Linked DNA regions of Elephas maximus indicus. The protein of the gene in region 2 binds, or shares a complex with, the protein of the main gene of each other region. Links are inferred from orthologs where the notes say so. Each region holds a gene or a part of one and is shown on either strand. Other genes may lie near its edges.

Region 1 (11,234 bases), on a different chromosome or scaffold from region 2:
CAGCCAGCCCTCTCCAAACCCTGATGGTTCCTGACGGCTGAGCATGAGGAAGTCCCTGGTCAGCGTGTGATGACTGGTGGTGAAGGGGCAGAGACCCTCATCCCTATTTTGCAGATAAAGGCAGGTGCAGAGAGGCTATTTGGGGAATTGGGGACTGAGCTGGGATGGGAGTCAGTTTTCCAGGCACCCTGACACAACTTTCTGCCCTCCCTTGGCTGCCTACCTCCTCCTGCTCAGGCCAGGGTGCCTGAGGCAGCTAGGGCCTGGGGCAGTGTCCCAGGGAGGGCTGTCTGTAGAGGGAGCCCAGTCCAGGGGCCAGAGGGTCAGGGCTGTTGGGCTGGGGGTAGAGTCTGTGAGCAGTACTAGGGGCAGAGCCCCTGGTAATGGGGATTCCTCTAATGCCATGGGCTGGGGCAGAGGCAAATTGGCCTGTCTCTCCCGCTCCTTCCCAGGACAGCCTGACCCCCTCCCTGCTCCTGAAAGGGAGCCCCTTTAAGATCAAGACCACCACCCATCTGTCAGTTTGTTGTACTGTGGTGGCTGGCATGTTGCTATGATGCTGGAAGCTATGCCACCAGTATTTCAAACACCAGCAGTGTCATCCATGGTGACAGGTTTCAGTAGAGCTTCCGGACTAAGAAAGACTAGGCAGAAAGACCTGGCAATCTGTTTCCCAAAATTAGCCAATGAAAACCCTATGGATCATCACAGAATATTGTTCAGTATAATGCTGGAAGATGAGCCCCCTAGGTTGGAAGGCATTCAAAATACAGAGTGGCTGCAAAAACAGACTTGAGCATACCAACAATCATGAAGATGGCACAGGACAGGGCAACATTTCATTCTGTTGTACTTGAGGTTGCCATGAGTTGGAGGTGACATGACAGCAGCAACTAACATAACACAGCATTAAGATCAAGAAATGAAGGCCCCAGCAAGGCCCTGCAGTAGCCAGACAGGCCTGGGTGGCTCTGGGGAGCAAGCCTTTTAGCCTCTGTGTGCCTCAGCTTCGTCGTGGGTGTCCTGGGGGTAATGATACCCACAAAGAGATCACACATGGGCAGTATCTCGTGCAGGGCCTGGCACACGGTAGGCTGGCAACAGGTGATAGCTCTAATCAATCCTCCTGGGGCCTCTCCCATGAAGTTCAAGGCGGGTCAACGCAAAGCACATATATTGAGTGCCTGTTGTGTGTCAGTCCTTGTGCCAAGGCAATGCGGGGGGGACTCAAAATGGACTGAATGTGGAGGGCATCTCCACAGGTTTGCAGTCACAGGAGAGATCAGATAAATTCTGCAGGACTCTGGGGAGTGAGAGACCCCTTCAGACTAGATTGGAAAGGCTTCCTGGAGGAGGAATATTTGAGCTGGGCTTGGAGGCCCTCAACACGTTGACATGGGAAAGAAAAGCACTCCAGGCAGAGGGAATAGCTTGAGAAAAGGCCCTGAGGTAGAAATGCCCAGGAAGTGTTTGGTAAACAGGAGGGTTCGGAAGCAGAAGGTGCAGCAAAATAATGGGCGAGGAAGCTAGAAGGGAAGGTTGAGAGAAGGCCAGAAAGGACCTTGAATGCCACGCGATGGAATTGGGAAGTTGTCCTGTGAGTGACAGGTGCCACTGAGGGCTTGTGAGTGAGAAGCTGGTGCTTCCTGGCTCATCCCTCCCCTCCACGTCTGACTCCTACACCTGGGTAAAATGGAAGCCCCGCCTCTGCATCCCCCAGAGGGCAGGGCCCAGGCTGGCCTCTGGACAGCACAGTGCTGCCCCCATTGGGGTCTTAGCATCTTGATTTCAAGGCTTTCTTGGCTACCTCCTCCTCCCTCCACCCCTTCTTACATTTCTCCAACTCAGACCAGCTTTCCCCTCCTTGCCCTTGCAAGGCCAGTGCTCTCCTCCCAGGTCTATGGTCTCTGAGGCCCCACTGAAAGGCCACCTCCTGCCTTTCCCCACCACCCCCTTCACCCCACCCTTAGGAAGTCTCTCTTGGCCCTGCGCAGGAGCTCACGGCACTCAGCCCGCCCAGCTCACAGCCCTCCTCCACCACGGGAGCAGGGACTAGGGCTCGCTCGGCATCACTGAATTCTCCCATCCCCAAGTGCCCAGATGGAGCATGGCGCACAGGAAGTTGCCTGGAAAGGGGCCGCCCATGCGCCCTCCCAGCTGGCCCCTCCGGCCCCAGGGCACTCACACAGTGGGGATGTACTCTCCCGGGAAGGCGTTGGTGGTGTAGCTGATGAGAAGGCAGGTCTTGCCCACGGCTCTGAAAGACAGGAAGCACAGGAGACAGCAGTCATGGGCCCCAGATACGGGGAGATTTCTGAGGCTGCTGGGTCACCCATCCCACCCCTGAGGGAAGACCTCAGTGTCTAACCAGGCCCAACCCTGGGGGTGGGGAGCAAATCGCTGTCCAGTCTAGCCCACAGTCTCCCCATCTGAAACTCCCTTTGTCTCTCAAACCCAAGAGCCCATGAGAGGCATCTGGGGTGTTTCTTAAAGTGCAGACTGAGGTCCTACCCCAGAGATTCTAACCCATAGGCGTGGGGCAGGACTGAGAATCTGCATTTTTAACCAGCTTTCTCAGGTAGTGGTGTGGGACTGAGGGTTAAGGGCAGGGGGTGCCAGGAAACCTGCCCTGTCATCACACTTCTGGGGTCCAAGCGCCCACCAGCTCCACCACTTGCCAGTGGCATGGCCTTGGGCAAATCACATAACCTGATGCCTCAGTTTCCCCATCTAGAAAATAACGCAAGTCCATCCTCTTAGGAGTGTGCCGTGAATTAAATTAGATGATGCATGTTAAAGCACTTAGCGTGCCGTGGAGCAGTCCTACTCTGAGGACATGGGGTGGCCGTGAGCTGGCAGTGGCCCGATGGCAGCAGGTCTGGTTTTTTGGTACCTGGCACTCCCTTCCCTCCTCTTTTCCTCCCACCTCTCCATGAAGCATAGCAGTTAAGAGCACCGGGTTTTGGAGTCATAGAGACCTGGGTTCAAATCCCATGAGGTCTGGGGCAAATTACTTAGCTTCCTGGAGCTTCAGTTTTCCCACCTGTAAAATGGGCCTGATTCTAGGGTCGGTGGGAGGAAAAACAGAGGAGGCGTGTCCAGCTCAATGCTTGGTACACAGCAAGTGCTAAATAAACAGTGATGGCCATTGTTCATGCCGTCTCCACCCTCGGGCTGCTGGTGTGGGAGTGGGGCCCAGGCAGCGCTGCGGGAAGCCAAGAGGCCAAAGGGGCAGCCTCGGGCCTTCCCCACTCTGCTTCGTCACTTCCTGTTCTGAGGAGTCTGCATGCCCTCTTTCCCCACTGCCGCCCTCCTTGGCCCTGCCACCAAGGTAACTTTGAATGACTGGGACGTTGCCCTTGACTTCCGCCCTCCAGTGCTCAGATTAGATACAAAGCAGAAGTGATCAGGGGTGGGCAGTGGGCAGATGATGACCACGTATCAGAATCAGCTGAGGGCTGCCTGATAACCTGCCCGCCCCCACCAGGATGTGTCCAGCCAAAGTCAGCGCCACCGGACCCAGGCTAGGAAACAGCGCGTCTCTCCAAGCCTCGAGTTGTCCCTCTGTAGGATGGGAGAGTTGGACAAGAGGGCCCTGCCCACCTAGAACATACCAGATGGACTTATGGAAAACCCCAGAATGTACCTGTGGGCTGGACCCTAAGGCGTTGTGGTAGCTGGCATGAGAGATGGATTTACAGATGAGGAAACTGAAGACCAGAAAGGGGGCCTGAAAACCTGAGGTCACTGAGAGTTTGACAGCTGTGAAGGACCTCAGCCCAGCCCCCCCGCCCCATGTCCCTCCCCTCAATCGCCTTCTATCTCATCTTCACTCCTTCTTGCCTAGTTTCATCTCTCAGGGTGCAATGTCCCCCTCCCCCTTCTCATCCTCACCCACGTACCCTACACAACCTTCCTGACCAGGCAGGTTGAAAGGGCGGCTGCCAGCCTCTCCAAGCGGGGGAGGGAGGAGGAGGTGGGGCAGGAAGGGTTTGGAGGCCAACATTTTTGAGCAGACTCTAAGATCAAGGCCCAGCCCAGTGCCGTCGAGTCATTCCAACTCATAACGACCCTATAGGACAGAGTAGAACTGCCCCATGGAGTTTCCAAGGAACGCCTGGCAGTTAGCAGCCATAGCACTTAACCACTATGCCACCAGGGTTTCCAAGAGCAAGGCAGCCACTCAAAATATCCCAAGAGATTCTAAATCAGCCCCGGGGGGCATGAACTATTATGGCTTCTTCCCAGTAGCTAAACTGAGGTTCAGAGAGGCTCTGTGACTTGCCCAAAGCCACACAGCAGGACCAAGCCAGTGATTAGAGCCCAAATTTTTGGTTCCCCACCACCACCTGCACCCACAAAGTTGAAAGCCAAGACACCCCCATGGAGGACCTGCCACCAGCACTCAGGATGCGGGTCAGGAGTCCCAGGCCCGTCATCCACCGTCCCATACCCTCAACCCAGGCAGCTTCCGGGGTGGAATGGACCAGAGAATGAAGCTTTCTGCAGCCCACCCCAGTTGCTCCCTCTGGAACCTGGACGAAGAAGCTCCTCCCAGCTGCCTCCCAGGGGCTCCTACACCTGCGGGCAGGGGGCTTCCCAAGGGACATCAGCAGGAGGGTCTCAGGGTATCCTGGTAGGGGCAGTGAGGAAGTTCTGACAGGTACCTACCCGTCTCCCACCACCACACACTTGATGGCTTGCATGGTGTCAGGGGCCTGGGGGGCAGCAGTGGTGACAGCTCAAGGCGCGGACCGTCTCTGTGGGCACCAGGGGTGTGGAGAGCCTGCGAGGCACCGGCCGGGGACAGCAGCAGCGGGAACGAGGTAGAGGAAGCGGAAGGGGAACTTACCCAATCTGCTCCCCCATGGCCGTTTGCAGAAGGCGGAGCATGTGGTCTGGCAGAACAGCTCACGCCTCTTAGGTGCTGGGCCGGGCCGGGTGCCCCATGGCCACCCCTGCACTGGGCACCAGCGGGGACATAGGACTCTCGGCTGGGAGACATGCGTCCTGTCATGGAGCAGAGCCAGAGATTGCTCTACAAGAACTTGAGGCTTCCAAGAACTCAGTCCATCTCAACTCTAAACAATAAGCATTTATTGAGCACCTACTGTGTGCCAGGCACAGTGCCGGGTGATTCCGGGGTGCAAAAGACATAGCTGGTTCCTGGAGTTCACATTCTTTATAAAGGGGAACATAAGACCTCCTCGGGGGTGGCTGTAAAGCAAGGCAGGAAGTGATGGGGCCCCAGGGGATCCACAGAGAGGGGATCTCAGAGGCACAGGAAAAGACAGCTGGAGGCTGGCAGGTGGCATTGGAGCTGGCACTTGGAAGGTGGTGTTGGAGAGGCTCTGGGGGGTGCGGTGCATGATCAGAGGCGCAGAGCTAACCCCCGGCCCCCCGCAAAGCATGGGCCTGTGTGGGAACACCTGAGTGTGGAAGGATGGGCAGTATGGGGTGCAGGTGATGAGGCAGGAAGGGGTAATGCAAGGGCAGTGCCAAGCAGTGCCCCCCACGAGTCAGGCCCTGTCCTGGGAGGCTGCAATCGCTGCTTTCAGCCTCACAGCCAGACACCCGGGAACCAAGCACCGTGGCCCCATTTTACAGGTGCAGAAACTGAGAGTTCCAGAAGTCAGGAGACTCACCAGAATCAGCCAGCCTGAAATCAAACCCAGGGCCAGGTGACTCTGAGCTCTTCTGGCACCCAGCTGCTATTTGTGAAGACACGGCCTGAGTTCTGCAGCTCTGGGGAGGGTCTCTGGGTAGCCGCAGGAGCAACACTGGTCTCTCCAGTCGGATCCAAATTCATCTAGCTGTCACTGTTTACTGCCATCTCTCTCCACCCCCAGTGCCTTCCCAGCTCCAGGGGGAAAGGACAGGAGAGGGGCTGAGCAGAGCCACTGGTCCCCTACCCTGGACTGGTCACTCAGGACAAGTGGCCAGCCAGGTACCCCTCTCGCTTCCTGCACTGGGAGAGGGTAGAGCTGGGATCCCCACAGCCACCTCCTTTCACACAGGCACCTGGAGACTCACCTGGGCCTCCTGGGAAAGGGTCAGTGTCAGGTCAATTCTGCCTTCATGCCCAGCCTTTCCAAGACTGTGCCCAGGGGCTACAGCAGGCCCAGCCTTTCCAGGGCTATGCACGCAAACTACAGGGTTTGCCAAAATGACTTTTGCAGGAAGGGAAATACAACTTCCCCAAGGGCCTGCTCCAGTACTTGACCAGTCGATCATTTGACCAGTCGATCATTAAACCAGCCAACAAACTTTGATATCTTTCCTTCTGTGCTTTGCATAAACTGAGATGAGACGGGGGAAGCATTTCATGGGGCCCAGCTTGGGATGAGGAAGGCCAGGCATCCCCCACACCACATTGGGAGTGAGTTTGGATCTCCTTGTCCAATGCCCTTGTTGCAGAGGTGCCTCCGCTCTTGCCCCACCAGCAACAAATGCTTCAGTTTTTGACCCTAATACCTCGCAACATGTTTTCTCCTTTTCAAAATGGGCGATAGAGGGCTTGGCGTAACTAACGCCATAGCGATACTCTAAGTAACCCACAAATTTTTTTTTGCTGGCATTTTGTACACTCTCAATGTTCTTTTTTATTATACCAGCTAAGCTGGTCTCTTTCCAATGGGCTGCGGGGCCTTCTCAGCTCTTGAAGCCTTGATCTCCCTCCTTTTCTTTGTTCTCTTTGGAGATGGCCTTCAGCCTGCAAGGTGACAGCTAGGAAGGCTGCCTGGTACTTTTGGTCTGCAGCTTTCTTGCTTGCTCTTTATCTCGGTCAGAGTAAACTTGGCAGGCCAGCTCTACTAGCCGAGAGATTTTTATATAAGTTTTTTTTTTTTTTTTTTTGCCTGTTACAAACATAAAGATTAGAGTCCAGATGGCCAGCATGCATATCTTTAGTTTAAAACTTTCTTGTAGTTGTTATGGGATATATACTCATCCGACCATCTGCAGGCATATGTGAAGACGCAGTAATCCTTGCAAAAATGATATATAAGCTCTGATGTAGAAATTGCTTTTCAAGACTCCATGAAAACAGCCAGCGCCGCTGGTGGACTGCCTGTTGGCGTCACCTCCTAATAAACTTTCTCTCTCTTTCTGATTTGGAGTACTTTTCATTGGCTCAACTGCTCCAGGGCACGGACCCCAATCAGATAACAAGTTCGTGCACTGGAAGCTGCTGTCTAGCCTCTGTTCACATACCTCCTATGATGGGGAGCTCATTCCCTTAGGGGGCAACCCCTTCCACCCTTGGCCAGCCTAGCCTGTCAGAAAGCCCTTCCTCATTTTCAGCCCAAGCCCACCTCCCTGGACAGGGCTTCTCAGGGCCGGTCTGCTCCCTCCTCCCCACCACAGGCCTTTGGATTTCGGAGCCACAATCTCCACCCCGCAATGAGGTGCTGGCAAATGCTTAACGATCCACTCTCTGAAAAAAAAAAAAAAGGTATTGTCATATATACATGCAGAAGTACAATATAAATTTTACTGATATAAAGGATATATAATAGTCAATTACCAACAATAAAATACACAGTGCTCCTCACTGTAAATTCCACATACAGGGAACTGATTCTCACGGAATGCTTTCATTGATTCTTGCTGAACTCTTGTGTGCAACCTAAAGTTGCAATTGACAAATGAGTTGTCATTACAACAGGAATATTGGCTGGTATTTTGGCTTATGCTAACACGTAAGAAGAAAGTGAAACAAGGAAGGCTTACATAAAAACTTCACTTGTTTGTTGATAATGGGAGTGACTGCTGTGCTGAATTAAGGGATAGTTTTTGAACGCAGGAGAAATATTTCCTCAATATTTTGTGCTCGGCACAATATTGAAAGGAGCCCTGGTGGCCCAGCGGTTTAAGCAATTTGCTGCTAAGCAAAAGGTCAGTGGTTGAAATCCACCAGCTGCTCCACGGGAGAAAGATGTGGAAGTCTCCTTCTGTAAAGATTACAGCCTTGGAAATCCTATGGGGTCATTCTACCCTGTCCTATAGGGTCATATGAGTCACAATCAACTTGATGGTAGCGGGTTTGTTTTTTTTTGTAGTTGTTTGTTTATAGACATGACATACCTTTAAGTTTAATATGTATTATTAACATTTTCTCCATCACATTAAGACTAGACAATTAAGAAAATAGTACATTAAGTCCCGATTCATGCCATTTGTCCATTTCTGACATGTAAATGCTCCCAACCAGAAATGGCTGATGTCAAGCTGCCAACGTGAGGTCCCCGGTTGCGGAGTAGGAAAGGAGCCACAGTAGCGCCCTAGATATGGTATTTCTACCGTATAGATGCAATAGATGTAAATAACCTCAAAAGTACAGATAATACTAAAATGTAGTGGAATAAGTAAATTTTGAGTATTTTTTTTTGCCTTTGTTTTTAATATACAGGTAGCCCTCAGCTTACTACGTGGTTCCATTCCCACGATTCTGCTGTAAGTCGGTTCTGATGAAAGTCAAAAGGCTCTTTTTTTTTCTTTTCATTATTATTGCCTTTTATGATCAGTATCTTTATAAATTCGATCTTGATTTGTCTTTGGGGGCTGGAAACATTCCATATAAACTTACAGATATATTTTAATACATCCAAAAATTTTTTAATTTAATTTAATAAATAGATACATAAAAATACACAAATCATAAAAATATATATAAAATCATAAAAACATATAAAATCATAAAATGTAATTTAATACATAGATACATAAAAAAATACACAAATCATAAAAATTTACTCCAACGATGAAGAGTTGGACAACGTTGGCATTTTGTCAGTTGTGGTAATAACTCCGCCTGTGGAAGGTTCCGGATCATCTGGGTTATCCCTGGGAATGGGATGGAGTTTCTACTCAGAAAATTAGTGAAAGTTATCTGTATGATCCTTTTCTTTTTTAATTCGTATATTTCGTGGTAACATCTCACTGCTTCCCAAATCTGCCTGTCAACTTCAGCGATGCAATCAGTGTCTGGGTCCATGTTTTCAAGCAACTGAAGCTCCTGATTTAGTTTAGAAAAGACTCCAGCTGGTCCTTTCCCTGTGGAATTTTTTGACAACTTCTCTCCCTCTTCTTCTTCGTTTCTTTCTTCTGCAGCATTTCCTTCCTCTTCAAAATCCATTAAGTCCTGGTCTGTCAGTTCCCCTTCTTCCTGATCTATGAGCTGTTCCACATTGATGATATCAAGTTCTAAATTCAGCGTTCTCGCCATAGGGACGATTTTTCCACTCATCTCCTCCATCATATTATCCTAATCGAATGCTTGAGGTGTGTTTGCCTAACTTGGCAATTTTTCCAAACCCCTGAATGCATGTTCCCATAACTTCCTCCCAGGAAGCTGCAGTGTTCCAGACACACTGATGTCATAATTCGAATATGCCGTAAGTCGCAGACGACCCATAATGTATTTAATTGTAAGTTTAGAATTTGGTTTTTAATAATGATTACATTTAACAACCAGCTCATGAAATTCCTGATAATTTAGCAATAGACTCTCATGAGCCGATGGAAGGTCTTCAGCATACCACTGCCTGCTTCCATGTGCCCATCTGCTGGGTACTGATCCCCAGCCCCGGCCAGCTTGTCCCATCTGTGTGTGTCCCAGCTCCCACTCAGCAAGCTAGCAGGTCCTCAGCCTCCTTGTTGTCCCTGAGAGGGGGCTGGGCAGGAGGACTCATGGACCCAAAGGTGGCAAGGTGGGAATACACAGGACAGGTGAACCAGGCAGGGGTTTCTCTCCTTCACATCATGTCCCTCTTGCTTTGGGCTGGAAGCCCCACCGTCAGTCTTTGCCCTTGGGTTGCAGCTTCTTCCAGAAGCCCTCCCCCTTCGCCTAACATCTTCACCTTCCTCCTCCTGAAGCTCCTCCGTTATCCTCATCCCTTGCCCTACAGACTTCCAATAACTCACGTTTCTCAAATGCTCCATGTTCTCCCTCATATTTTGCCCACAATGCCCATTGAAAATGCCTTTCCTCTCTCTCCCACCCATCCCTTCCTGAGACTGATAAACTCTTGCTTGCTCTTCAAGTCTTAGATCAGATGTCACCTCCTCCAGGAAGGCCTCCCAGAATCCCAGGCTGGAGTAGATGCCTTTTTTAAGCTCCCACAGTCCCTGAACTTCTCCATCACAGCAGGGATAACACTGTGTTGTGTCACCTATGTCCTTAAAAAAAAAGTGTTATTTAGTATTTAAAATGTCCCAACAGGTATAAAAGATAATACACCGAACACCAGGGTACTCACCACCCAGACAAAAATATGAACATTGCTACATAGTTAGTCCTCCTCAGACCCACTGGAAGCTCTACTGAACCCTATTCAGCATCACAGCAACAGGAAAGCCTCCACTGACAGATGGTTGGTGGCCGCCCATGAGGTGCACTGGCTGGGAATTGAACCTAGGTCTCTCACATGGAAGGCAGGAATGCCACTGCTGAACCATCACTGTCCCCTTCGCCTCAATACCAAACCAAAGTGATTGCATCTCACAGGGACATATTATCCAATCGGCAAGGTAAGCACTGTGCTTACCTTGCTTACCAGATCATCTGTAGTGAACAATTTCACATTTTTTCACCGCACCAAAGATTCTGCTTCTACGTATAGCTGGTGTCTGTCTGTCTCCCAAGCCCACACCACCTTCCTACAGAATCAAAGCCTCTTTTCAAATTTACAGTCTCTGACAGGGATGAATTACCGTGTGAGCAAGGTAAGCACGGGCTTACTTGTGCTTGCTTACTGATCAAAAAAACCTATGTGAAATTGTTCACTACAGATTAGGAAGTAAGCTTAAGTAAGCCTGTGCTTACCTTGCTTATTGGGCAATCTGAACCTGCATCTCCAGCACGATTAGGAGTCCCTGCTACTCCACACCTTGGCCCACACTTGGCCTTGTGAGGTTTTATAATTTTTGCTAATCTTATGGCTGTGAATTGGCATCTCATTGTGGTTTTAATTGACACGAATTGATTTCTAGTAATGTCAAGCATTCTTGCAAGTGTTTGCTGTAGATTTGTGTTTCCTCTTCCATAAATTGTTATTCATATCTTTTGTCCATTTCTCTGCTGGGGTATTTGTCTTTCTCTTATAATTCTTTTTTGACGTTATCTGTCTATTCTGCATTCCAAACTTTGTTATTTATGTTGCAAATATTACTTTCAGTCAGTGGGATGTCTTTTAATGATTTGTGACTTTTAATAAACAGAGTTTTTATCTGGA
Region 2 (11,528 bases):
TGGATCCAACGTAAGTTTTATTGAGCACCTACTATATGTCAAGTGCCGTGCTTGGTATTGAGAATACAATGATGTGTCTAGCAGGAGATTTTAAACTGTGGAGAAAAGAAATTGTCATTCAGCTGGCTTCAGCAATAGACAGATTAACTATCTCACCAAACAAGAATTCCTGAAGTAGGTCACTTCCAATATTGGTTAATTTATGAGCTCACCAGCATAATGAGGAAGCCAGGTTCTTTTATTTCTCCATTCTCTTCTCCTCAGCATAATGAGTTATTCTTGGCTAGTTGCCCTCCTGATCACAATACAGTTGCCACTGTTCCTGGCACTACATCTTCATGACACTATTTGGAGAAACAAGTACTGTTTCCTCTCATGTGTCTTTTTTTTAATCAGTGAGAAAAAAAAAACCTTTCCCAGAAATTCTTTCCAGACTTCCACTAACATCTCATTGACTAGATTTATATCTCATGCTCATGCCTAAACCAATCAGAACCCACTCCCTGGGGTAGTGCTTGGGACTTATCTCCCCTGGAGCTCATGAAGTGGAGACTTGTACAGAACTGGGATTCTACCAAAAGGAGGAAGGTGAATGAATGACAGCTGGAAAGGCCACCTACCGGCAGTATCACATAAGGATTAAATAGAATGTCTCTGCAGTGGGGATGCATATACAATTATAAATTGTGGCAAATACCAGGACCAGAGAAAGCCATGTATTGTGAGAGAGATAACAGGGAATCATAGTGAGGTCACAGGATCAGACAGGCCACTGAGGAAGTGAAAGATGAGCAGGAACTAGCCAGGCAAAGCTTTGGGGGAAGAGCATTCCAGGTAGAGGTAACAGGCTTTGCTCATTCAAGAACATGAAAGGAGACCAGGGTGGCTAAAATCCTGGGAGGGAGGGGAAGAATAGCACCAAACAAAGGTGAAACAGCAGGCAGGGTCCTTCCCTGCACTATGGGAAGGATTTGGGTTTTATCTTAAGAGCAATGCAAAGGTATAAAAGAACTTAAAACAGGGGCTTGATGTGACCTGACTTGTAGTTTTAAAAAGATTCATCTGGCTGCTGTGTGGAGAACTGATGGAGGGGGTAGGAGATGGTAGGAGGCTGTAACATTAATCCATGAACTGATGGTGGCTTGGCCTGGGTGGCAACAGTAAGGGAAGAGGGAATGGAGAGAATTGAGCATGAATGGCATTGTTAGTGCTCTGGGGAATACAAGAATGGGTCAGTCCCAGGAGTTCTTTTCCAGGTGCTGAGGTCCATTTGAGGGCTAAGACATGCATGTTGTTATTGTTGTTGTTGCTGGGTGCCAGTGTGTCTATTTTGACTCATAATGATCCCATGAGACAGAGTAGAACTGCCTCATAGGGTTTCTTATCCTATAATCTTTACAGAAGCAGATCACCAGATTTTTCTCTCACGGAGCTGCTGGGTAGTTTTGAACTACCAACATTTTGGTTAGCAGCAGAGCTCTTAACCGTTTGTGCCACCAGGACTCCTTAAGACAGCATGCACTTAAGTAATTCTACTTCGGTGGAGACTGTTAAGTGACATGTGGGAGGTGTAGGGAAGGAGTTGAGGAAGTTCAAAAGAAGGCGAAATCACAGGTTTGGGCCTGATTTTAGGCCAGCTTCTAAAGGAAAGTGATGTTTGAGCAAGGCATCAAAGGTTGTGCAAGGTGGGTTTGAAGGGGCAGATGCAGGAAAAAGCAGCCCAGAGAGAGGAACAGCCCAGGTGAAGGCAGGAAATGAAGGCGTATAGAGGGAGAAGAACATAGTAGCATTTGTATGAAGAAGTGGGTTTGTGAAGGGAAGTTCTGGGAAATGAGGTAAGAAAAGTCATGGGGGTCAGATCGAAGAGAATTCTGAGTGTCAGGCTAGGATAATAATATAAACGATAAGACTAAAAACGTTTAAATAATGAGTCCTGGTGTTGCAACGGAGCCCTGATGATGCAGTGGTTAGGAGCTCAGGGTGCTAACCAAAAGGTTGGAAGTTCGAATCCACCAGCTGCTCCTTGGAAACCCTATGGGGCAGTTCTACTCCATCCTGTAGGATCGCTGAGTTGGAATCAACTCAACAGCAACAGGTTTTATTTTTCGGTTTGGTAGTGCAACATTTAAGCGCTCAGCTGCTACCTGAAAGGTTAGAGGTTCAAAATGAGAAACAGATTTAATTCTTCTGAAATCTGGACTTCTGGGATCCATGGAGTTGGGATGACCCACTCAGGCCATTTCTCTAAGACCTTCTTTTGAACTTTGAGCCATGAAGAAACTGCTCTTCTTAAAGTTACCTTTAGGTCAAAATAGCCTAGCTTAATTTGTAAAAAAATACCCACCTTGGGCCTTGTGAAGAATTACCTATGTGAAGTCAGTTTCAAGAAACAGAAACTCCAAGGTCAGACTAGAAGTTATGTTTTAGGATAAATTATTATGGAAACACTGTTCTGGCCCCAATTCCCTGGCACTGTCTGTGAGATGGGTTGTAAGAATCTTTGGTGTTTTCTCATCTTCAGAGTATTTTTGACTCTGTAGTTGAAATGTTTTATTGACTATGCAAAAGCATTCGACTACGTGGATCATAACAAATTGTAGATAATGTTGCAAATGTAAAGGAGAAGTTCATGAAGCCTTTTTGACCAGGACTAAATGATTGAATTAAACTCAGTTTTTGCTGAATTAAACTGGTCTTTTCACATGCCTGCCCAAGACTCTTTATTTGCCTAGCTAACAGTAGAGTCAGCCCAGGCTTTTCACAAGCACCTGCTATTTGGCTCCTTAATTGCTAGCATTCATGAGAACTGTGTGGTTAAGCCAGAATGTAAAAGAAATACATTCTGAGGAAGGGAATCTTGACACAGGTGTCTTTTTGTGCAAAGTGGGCCTAGGAAATGTTTCTTTATAACAAGGATGTAATTAAAAAAAAAAAAAAAAAGTTTTGAAAAGGTCCTGGAACTAGCGTTCTCTAAAGTTTCCCAGGCAACTTAAAAGGGTTTTGTTTGAACAAGTTGTTACTGGGAAATGTGGTGCTGGTACTGAATGGTTATCATGGATCCCCGAAACATCTAGTTATAGCTGCTTAACATCAATCAGTGATGTTCTTATGACCTCCCCTGAAAGATATGTGACTGTGATTGAAAATCTCTGTAATTATTCCCTGAAATCAATTACTATAAGCCTCTGTATCTAATTATCCAATAGGAGCCCATTCCCCACCTCCTAAACCACCCTTCTTGTGACCTCAATCAAAGACTAACCAATCAAATTATTGTGTTATCATTTCTTTATTCCTTGGACTGTATCTCTTCCTGTTAGGAGCTCTCTCACTGGAGTTATCAGTTTTTACTTATGTGACCTGCTGTCTCTCTGCATTTGAATGACCTTTTCTTTTCTTTTTAATAAATAAAGCTTATTTCAAGGAGTGAGTGGTTTTTTCTCTGTAACATGAAGAATGGGAATTCCAGAACACTGAAGTGTCATTTGGAACCTGTATGTAGACCAAGAGGCAGGTGTTTGAACAGAACGAGGGGATACTGCATGGTTTAAAATCAGGAAAGGTGTATATCAGGGTTGTATCCTTTTGCCACATTTACTCAGTTGGTATGCTGAGCAAATAATCTGAGACGCTGGACTATACAAGGAAGAATGAGGCAACAGGATTGGAGGAAGACTCATTAACAACCTGAGATATGCAGATGACACAACCTTTCTTGCTGAAAATGAAGAAGACTGGAAATACTGATGAAGATCAAAGACTACAGCCTTCAGTATGGATTATACTTCAGCATAAAAAAAACAAAAATCCCCACAACTGGACCAATAAGAAACATCGTGACAAACAGAGAAAAGGTTGAAGTTGTCAAGGATTTCATTTTACTTGGAACCAAAATCAATGCCCACAGAAGCAGCAGTTAAGAAATCAAATGACATATTGCAACAGGCAAATCTGCTGCAAAACACCTCTTTTAAGTATTAAAAAGCAAAGATGTCAGTTTGAGCACTGCGGTATGCCTGACCCAAGCCATGGTATTTTCAGTTGCCTCATATGCATGAGAAAACTGGACAATGAATAAGGAAGACGGAAGAAGAATTTATGCCTTTGAATTATGGTGTTGATGAAGAATGTTGAATATGCCATGGGCTGTCAGAAGAATGAACAAATCTGTCTTGGAAAAGGTACAGCCCTAATGCTCCTTAGAATCAAGTGTGGTAAGACTTTGTTTCACAGACTTTGGACATGCTACCAGGAAAGACCAGTACCTGGAGGAGGACATCGTAAAGTAGAGGATCAGCAAAAAAGAGAAAGACCCTCAGCAAGGTGGATTGACAACTGCTACAGCAATGGGTTCAAACGTGGCAACGATTGTGAGTATGGTGTAGGACTTCAGTGTTTCGTTCTGTTTTACGTAGGGTCGCTATGAGTTGGAACAGGGTCACTATGAGTTGGAACCAACTCCACAGCAGCGAACAACAGTTAAAATGTTACTGCAATTTGCAAAGTGTATATTAAATAAACTTCGATCAGTTTCTTTTTTTGGCTTAATATGATTTTTGTTTTAACAGAACCCACCCAGCTGCTCCGAGGGAGAAAGGCCTGATGATTTGCTTCCGTAAAGATTACAGCCTAGAAAACCCTCTGGGGTAGTTCTACTCTGTCACTGGGCTGCTATGAGTCGAAAATCAACTTGCCAGCACCTCACAACAACAGTTTAATGGCAGAATCACTTGTTTTCCCTAGAAATAATTAATGTGCTACTTAAGTTTTGATTATTTACTCACCGATTGGAATAGCAATACCTCTTCCTGGCATTACTGCTACCTAGGTTGTTTGCCAATGGTCTTTAATTTCCTTTGAAATGCATTCCTATGTCATTTATTCAGTATTGACACTGAGGACCCAAGAGTGAAAAGGCATGGTTCCAAATCTCAAGGGGCTTAAGAGGTATGCTAAAGGCAGATGAAGACATAAATTGCAATAAAATTTAATGTGGTATATGTTAGGGAAGAGATGCTATAGAGGAGGGAGAAATTGTTTCTATTCCTTGAGAGTGCAGGGCTAGGTTTGGCATATGTGGTAAATTTTTAACTGGGTCTTTAAGAATGAGAAGGAGTTTGCCAGGCAAAGAAGTGAGGTGGGAAGGCCTTCTAAACAGCGAAAACAGTCTGTGCATGTCTTCTCAATTCTCACACCATCTATCTGACAAGCCCTGTTAAGTGTTCATTTTAAAGTTTTATTTTCAAGCTTTTAGGGGAAGCTTGGTGATAATTGGTGAAATCTTTTGGTTGTACAGAACAAGAGTTGGCATCTGAATATTTGAATGAAGTAAACATGCAGTTTACTTAATAATATCTAATATTTACCAGAATTTAATAAGTCAAATTGGTTATATCCGCTACGCCCAATTTTTCTTCAGGCAGATTTTATTGAATTTTATTTTGCTGAGTCATCAAAGGGAAACCCTGGTGGTGTAGTGGTTAAGTGCTACGGCTGCTAACCAAAAGGTCAGCAGTTTGAATCCACCACGCAGTGCTCCTTGGAAACTCTATGGGGCAATTCTACTCTGTTCTATAGGGTCACTACGAGTTGGAATCAACTTGACAGCAACGGGTTTGGTTTTTTTTGGAGGCATCGAAGAGAGGAATCTTAAATCTGTTTTTTTTTAGGAGACTAGTAAACTCATTAGTCATCAATGTAGACACCGTGTCTCTTCAATTTTTCACAGAAGGACAGAGAAAGTCATAATCCACAGTCCTATGTGACTTCCAGTTTGAGCATTTTCAGAAAACTGGTCCCGTCTGTGCTCCCTAAGTGTTCATGAAAGTTACACTTAGATAGACACCCCCAAGGCCATCCTGTCTCAGAAATGTGTTCACTGCTAATTTTAGCTCAAGATAAAAGCTAATATACCAAGACAGTCCATGAGGTTAAGAGAGAGGAAGAAAACCACCTTAAATGAAGAAACTTATTTAAGACTGGAAAGAACTATTCTTTCATTCAACTCCCTAATTTAACAAAAAACCCAAACCAAACCCACTGCCATCAAGTGACTCTGACTCATAGCAACCCCACAGGACAGAGCAGAACTCCCCCAGAGAGTTTTCCAAGGAGCACCTGGTGGATTTGAACTGCCCGCCTTTTGGTTAACAGCGGTCGCACTTAGACACTATGCCACCAGGTTTTCCCCTCATTTAACAGAGGTATGGAAATTGAGGCTCAGGGAGGGGCAGTGACCTGCCAAGGTCACCCTGGGGCCTTGGCCAGAAGCTGTTGCAGAAGGCAGAGGACAGAAAAGGAGGGGCTGGGTGACAGAGCAGAAGCATTTTGGGGAACTGACCCCTTGCAGGCAGAATCTGATGTACTTCCTCTCTTTGTCTGCACTCTGCCCCGGCTCACCCTCTTTCTATCTCTTTCCCTTACTCTCTCTTGGTAGGGTTATGCGTCAGTAACCAAAAGGTGGGGACATTTCCTGATGCATTTGCAACACTGAGAAGTTGTCTTAAGAGAGACTAGACCGCACTGTGAGCACCAGGCCAGGGAAGTCAACACCTGGGGCAGCTGGGCCGCCCTGCTAGGGGAGACGCTCCTCCTCACCCGCTCCCTGCCCCCCCGCCCCGCCCGGCCTCAGCTGTCCCCTGGCAGTGCTCCCGGCCCCCTGGTTTCCACCTGATCATGTCCCTGGCTGAAGCCATCAGCCTCTGGAATGAAGGCGTGCTGGCAGCTGACAAGAAGGACTGGAAGGGCGCTCTGGAAGCCTTTGCCGCCGTCCAGGATCCCCACTCCAGGATTTGCTTCAACATGGGCTGCGTGCACACGATCCTGGAAAACATGCCGGAGGCGGAGAAGGTGAGCAGAGGGGCCTCTCTCCACCCTGGTCTCCTCTGGGCCTCTGTTTAATTATGGGTCTCAATCCTGTCTGCACTTCAAAAACCTCTGGGGAGCTTTACAAGAACAAAAGATGCCCAGATCCCACCTCCAAAGATTCTGATTTCATTGGTTGGGGTGGGACCTAAACAATCCTAGTTTTTTAAAAGCTCCTGGGGGTACTTCTAAAGGGCCGCAAGCGTTGAGACCCAGTAACCCCAGATTATGCTCTTCTTTCCCTCCACCTATTAAATTCAAGCCAATCTCTAATCGTTCTTTAACACCGTTCTGAAGACTTCTCTTCTTATATTTCCTTCTATGAACTCCTGCTGGACATGGGGTCTCCATCTTACCACTTAGCACCTGATGATAAGGAGCCTGGTAGCTTTCCAAGAGTTTCATGTGTGTCAGCCTTGCCTGCCAGTAAGTAGGTGGCGGGGGAGGGGGGGACGGCACTTATGAAAAACAAGTTTCACCTCAAGTGCCAACTCTGATCGATAATGTGGAGCATTCTTTTAAGGATTCTGAGGCTGGCAGAAGGAAATCATACGGTGATTGATTAATAATGTCTGCCAAGGGCATTGTGTGGATTGTTGTTTAGGTGCCTGTTGAGTCACTTCCGATTCACAGCAAACCTGTGTACAACAGGATGAAACACTGCCCAGTCCTGTGCCATCCTCACAATCGCTGCATTGTCTGAGCCCATTGTTGCAGCCACTGTGCCAATCCATCTCATAGAGGGTCTTCCTCTTTTTTGCTGACCCTCTACTTTACCAAGCATGATGTCCTCCAGGGACTGGTCCCTCCTGAAAACATGTCCAAAGTGAGATGAAGCCTCATCATCCTCATTTTCAAGGAGTATTCTGGCTGTATTTCTTCTGGGACAAACTTATTCATCCGGCAGCCCATTGTATATTCAATATTCTTCGCCAATACCAGAATTCAAAGGCATCAATTCTTCTTTGATCTTCCTTATACATTGTCCAGCTTTCGCATGCATGTGAGGCGACTGAAAATACCATGGCTTGGGTCAGGCGTCCCTTAGTCTTCAAAGGGACATCTTTGCTTTTCAGCACTTTAAAGAGGTCTTTTTCAGTAGATTTGCCCAATGCAGTTTTGTCTTTTGATTTCTTGCCTGCTGCTTCTGTGAGCATTGTTTTTGGATCCAAGTAAAATGAAATCCTTGGCAACCTCAATCTTTTCTGTTTATCTTGATGTTGCTTACTGGTCCAGTTGTGAGGATTTTTGTGTTCTTCCTTTTAAAAATATTTTTATTCCTCAAATCCTTAGTATGGGGTTGAGCATTATCAATAATCACTGTTTGAATTGATCATGGTAAGCTGGAAAGGACATAAGTTTAGAAGCAGAAGATCTAGGATCAAATCCCAGCTCTGCCTCTCTCCGTACCTTTGGTCTTAGGCATTATGCTTTTGATGCGAGAATTAGTGAGCCCAGCCAGCCAGCTGAGTCCAACTCATGGCAGCCTCATGTGTGTCGGAACGGAACTGTGCTCTTTAGGGTTTTTGGTGGCTGATGTTTTGGAAGTAGATCACCAGGCTTTCATCTGAGGAGCCTCTGTGTGAACGTGAACCTTCAAACTTTTAGTTAGCAGCCAAATGTGTTTATTGTCTGTACTGCAAGGCACCAACTGTGTAACTTCACACCGCTGTATAAATGTTAGTTATTATTTTTACTTTTCACTGATGGTCTTTGCAAGGCAGTGTGGACAGATGCATGGCTCCCAGTTCTTCCCACCATCATCCTTACAGTTGACAGAAGGTGAACAACCCTCAGCCATATTCCAGGCAACAGGAAGAGAGAGAAGTAGCTGAAATGCCCTCTCAGCCTGACGAGTAGAACACAGGCTCCAGAGTCAGCACACATGCCAGAAGGAACAGGAGAGGGCTCCCACCTCTGGCTGGAGGGAGGATGGCAGCCCCATTCTATCATTGGCCTGCTGAGCGGTTGGGCAAACGGCACACAGGCTCTGAGGGTGATAAAGACAAAGGGCGCATTGTCAGGGAGAAGGGATGGGAAAGGGCAGCAGCTGGTCTGGGAGCAGCTGTGCCGGCTGTGACTGTGTGCTCCCTGGTTTCGGGGGTCCTTGGAAGGTTGTGCAGGCCACCACTCACCTCTCAGCTCACCCGCTCGCACACCTTCTCACTCTCTGGTCAGACTCCTCCTTGTCTCTTCTGCTTCTGGTCTTCTCATTCTGTATGTCTTTGTTTTCCTGCTCGAGCCCTTACTACTAGCATTTCCTATGCATTTTCTCTTATTTTAATCTTGTCAATAACTTTGAGAAGCAGATGTTAATATCCCCATTTTACAAAACAGAAAACAAACGTTCAAGGAGATTGGGTAATTTACTGCGTGCCAGGCAACGAGGAAGTAATGAAGCAGGACATTCTGACCCAGTCTGTCTAATCCCTAAACCCTATCACCTTCAAGACATCAGCCATTCTCATGACCCCCTTGAGCCATACTCTGGGTCATCTCACAGCTCCTCACTGCTTTGTATGGACTCTTCTCTCCACAGGCCTTTACCCAAAGCATCAACAGAGACAAGCACTTGGCAGTGGCTTACTTCCAACGAGGAATGCTCTACTACCGGACAGAGAAGTAAGTGGTGCAGTATTGCACAATGCTGGGGAAGTTTACAGAGAAACCCTGAGGGATCCCAGGGCTGCAAGACTGGGTGTTTGAGAGGGATCTTCCCAGTCTCTGTCAGGAAGCCTGGCTAGACCTTTTCTGGGCAGTTATGCAATAAGTCAGCACGAGGCAGAAGCTCCTACTGGTGAAGGAGGGCAGTCCTCTCACCCTGATCTTAAGTCTGCTGTCTCATAGCTCAGAGTATGCGGGTGGTGCAAAAGGTCAAGGCACTCGGCTGCTAACCAAAAGGTTGGAAGTTCAAGTCTATCCAGGGGCACCTCAGAAGAAAGGCCTGGAGATCTATTTCCAAAAGATCCCAGCCATTGAAAACTCTATGGAGCACAGTTCTACTGTGAAGCACACGGGGCCACCATGAACTGAAATCAGCTCCATGGGACCTGGTTATTGGTGTGATAGCTCACAATTAGCCTACGTAACCACCATAGGCCTGATATTCAGCTGGCCTGACCCGTCTACCAGCATCCCTCTGATGTGTCACCGCCTGGGCAGTCCTGGCTGTAAATGTTTTGGCCATCACGAGTGTGCTACTATGAGGTACTGAGCTGTGACAGAATGAGGATTACCATGAAGCCACATTAAAACCTTCCTAACATTGTGAGTATAATTGATGCCACTGAACTGTACACATAAAAATAGTTAAAATGAAAAAGGTAATGTTTTATATATTTCACTACAATAAAAAGAGCAAAGTCACATGACAAGAAACATACTGCAGAAAAGTAAAAACAAAACGAAAATACCTTGCTGAATTCCAGCAAAATCTGTTTTCAAAATCCATTTAATGAAATATAATTTGGCCACAAAAATGAGAATATAAACTATTTATATTATATGTATGTGAATATATTAAAACAGGTAAATAGCATATATATTGATACAGAAAAGAGTTCAAACTCACAAAAAAAGAGCAGACCTACTGGTCTGATGGAGACTGGAGAAACCCTGATAGTACGACCACTGGATAGCCTTATAGCTCAGTAATGAAGTCATTCCTGAGGTTCACCCTTCAGACAAAGAGTAGACAGGCCCATAATCAAACAATAATACACGTAGCTCAACCATGTATACGAGATGTTCAGTTTAAAACAGATTTTAAAACAGTACCTAGGATCGCTATGAGTTGGAATTGACTCGATGGCACACAATGACATACCATAATTCCATTTATGTTTCACAGAGAGAAGTCTGGAAGGCCATGGGCCAAAATGTTATCAGTAGGTGTTGGGATTGTAGGGATTTCTGTTTTCTTTTCTCGGTTTATCTGTATTTTTTTTAAGTGTTTGCTGTCAACATGAATTAATTATAAAGACGTAAATGCATTCAAAATGGAAGTAAATTGCAATTCCTTTCCCCCAAAAAACACCCCAATAATAAATACACAAACAATAAATTAAAAATATTCTTTTTTTTTTATTGTGCTTTAGATGAAGGTTTACAGAGCAAATTAGTTTCTCATTAAGCAATTAATACACATATTGCTTTGTGACATTGGTTGCCAACCCTGGGGCGTGTCAACACTCTCCCCTTCTTGACTTTGAGCTCCCCATTTCGGTTTGTCCAGCTTTCCTGTCCCCTGCTGCCTTCTTGTCCTCACCCCTGGGCTGGTGTGCCCACTTAGTCTCGTATACATGGTTGAGCTATGTGTATTATTGTTTGATTATGGGCCTGTCTACTCTTTGTCTGATTATGGGCCTGTCTACTCTTGTCTGAAGGGTGAACCTCAGGAATGACTTCATTACTGAGCTATAAGGATATCCGGAGGTTGTACTATCAGGGTTTCTCCAGTCTCCATCAGACCAGTAGGTCTGGTCTTTTTTTGTGAGTTTGAATTTCGTTCTACATTTTTCTCCCGCTGTGTCTGGGACCCTCTATTGTAATCCCTGTCAGAGCAGTCACTGGTAGTAGCTGGGCACCATCTAGTTGTGAGGGACTCAGTCTGGTGGAAGCTGTAGTTGTGGTCCATTAGTCCTTTGGACTAATCTGTCCCTTGT

Evidence for each region.
Region 1: NCF2 (region 2) and RAC2 share a complex: the UniProt entries of both Homo sapiens proteins name them as parts of the phagocyte NADPH oxidase complex. The link is inferred for Elephas maximus indicus from reciprocal best matches to the Homo sapiens genes NCF2 and RAC2.

What each region holds. Positions count from the first base shown.
Region 1 is NC_064822.1:181,091,792-181,103,025, forward strand, and holds the start of RAC2 (ras-related C3 botulinum toxin substrate 2), read right to left. Parts: upstream 4,844-11,234; 5' UTR 4,707-4,843; coding exon 4,672-4,706; intron 2,258-4,671; coding exon 2,186-2,257; intron 1-2,185. UniProt on the Homo sapiens protein: Plasma membrane-associated small GTPase which cycles between an active GTP-bound and inactive GDP-bound state.
Region 2 is NC_064842.1:47,062,058-47,073,585, reverse strand, and holds the start of NCF2 (neutrophil cytosol factor 2), read left to right. Parts: upstream 1-6,423; 5' UTR 6,424-6,675; coding exon 6,676-6,849; intron 6,850-9,403; coding exon 9,404-9,486; intron 9,487-11,528. UniProt on the Homo sapiens protein: Subunit of the phagocyte NADPH oxidase complex that mediates the transfer of electrons from cytosolic NADPH to O2 to produce the superoxide anion (O2(-)).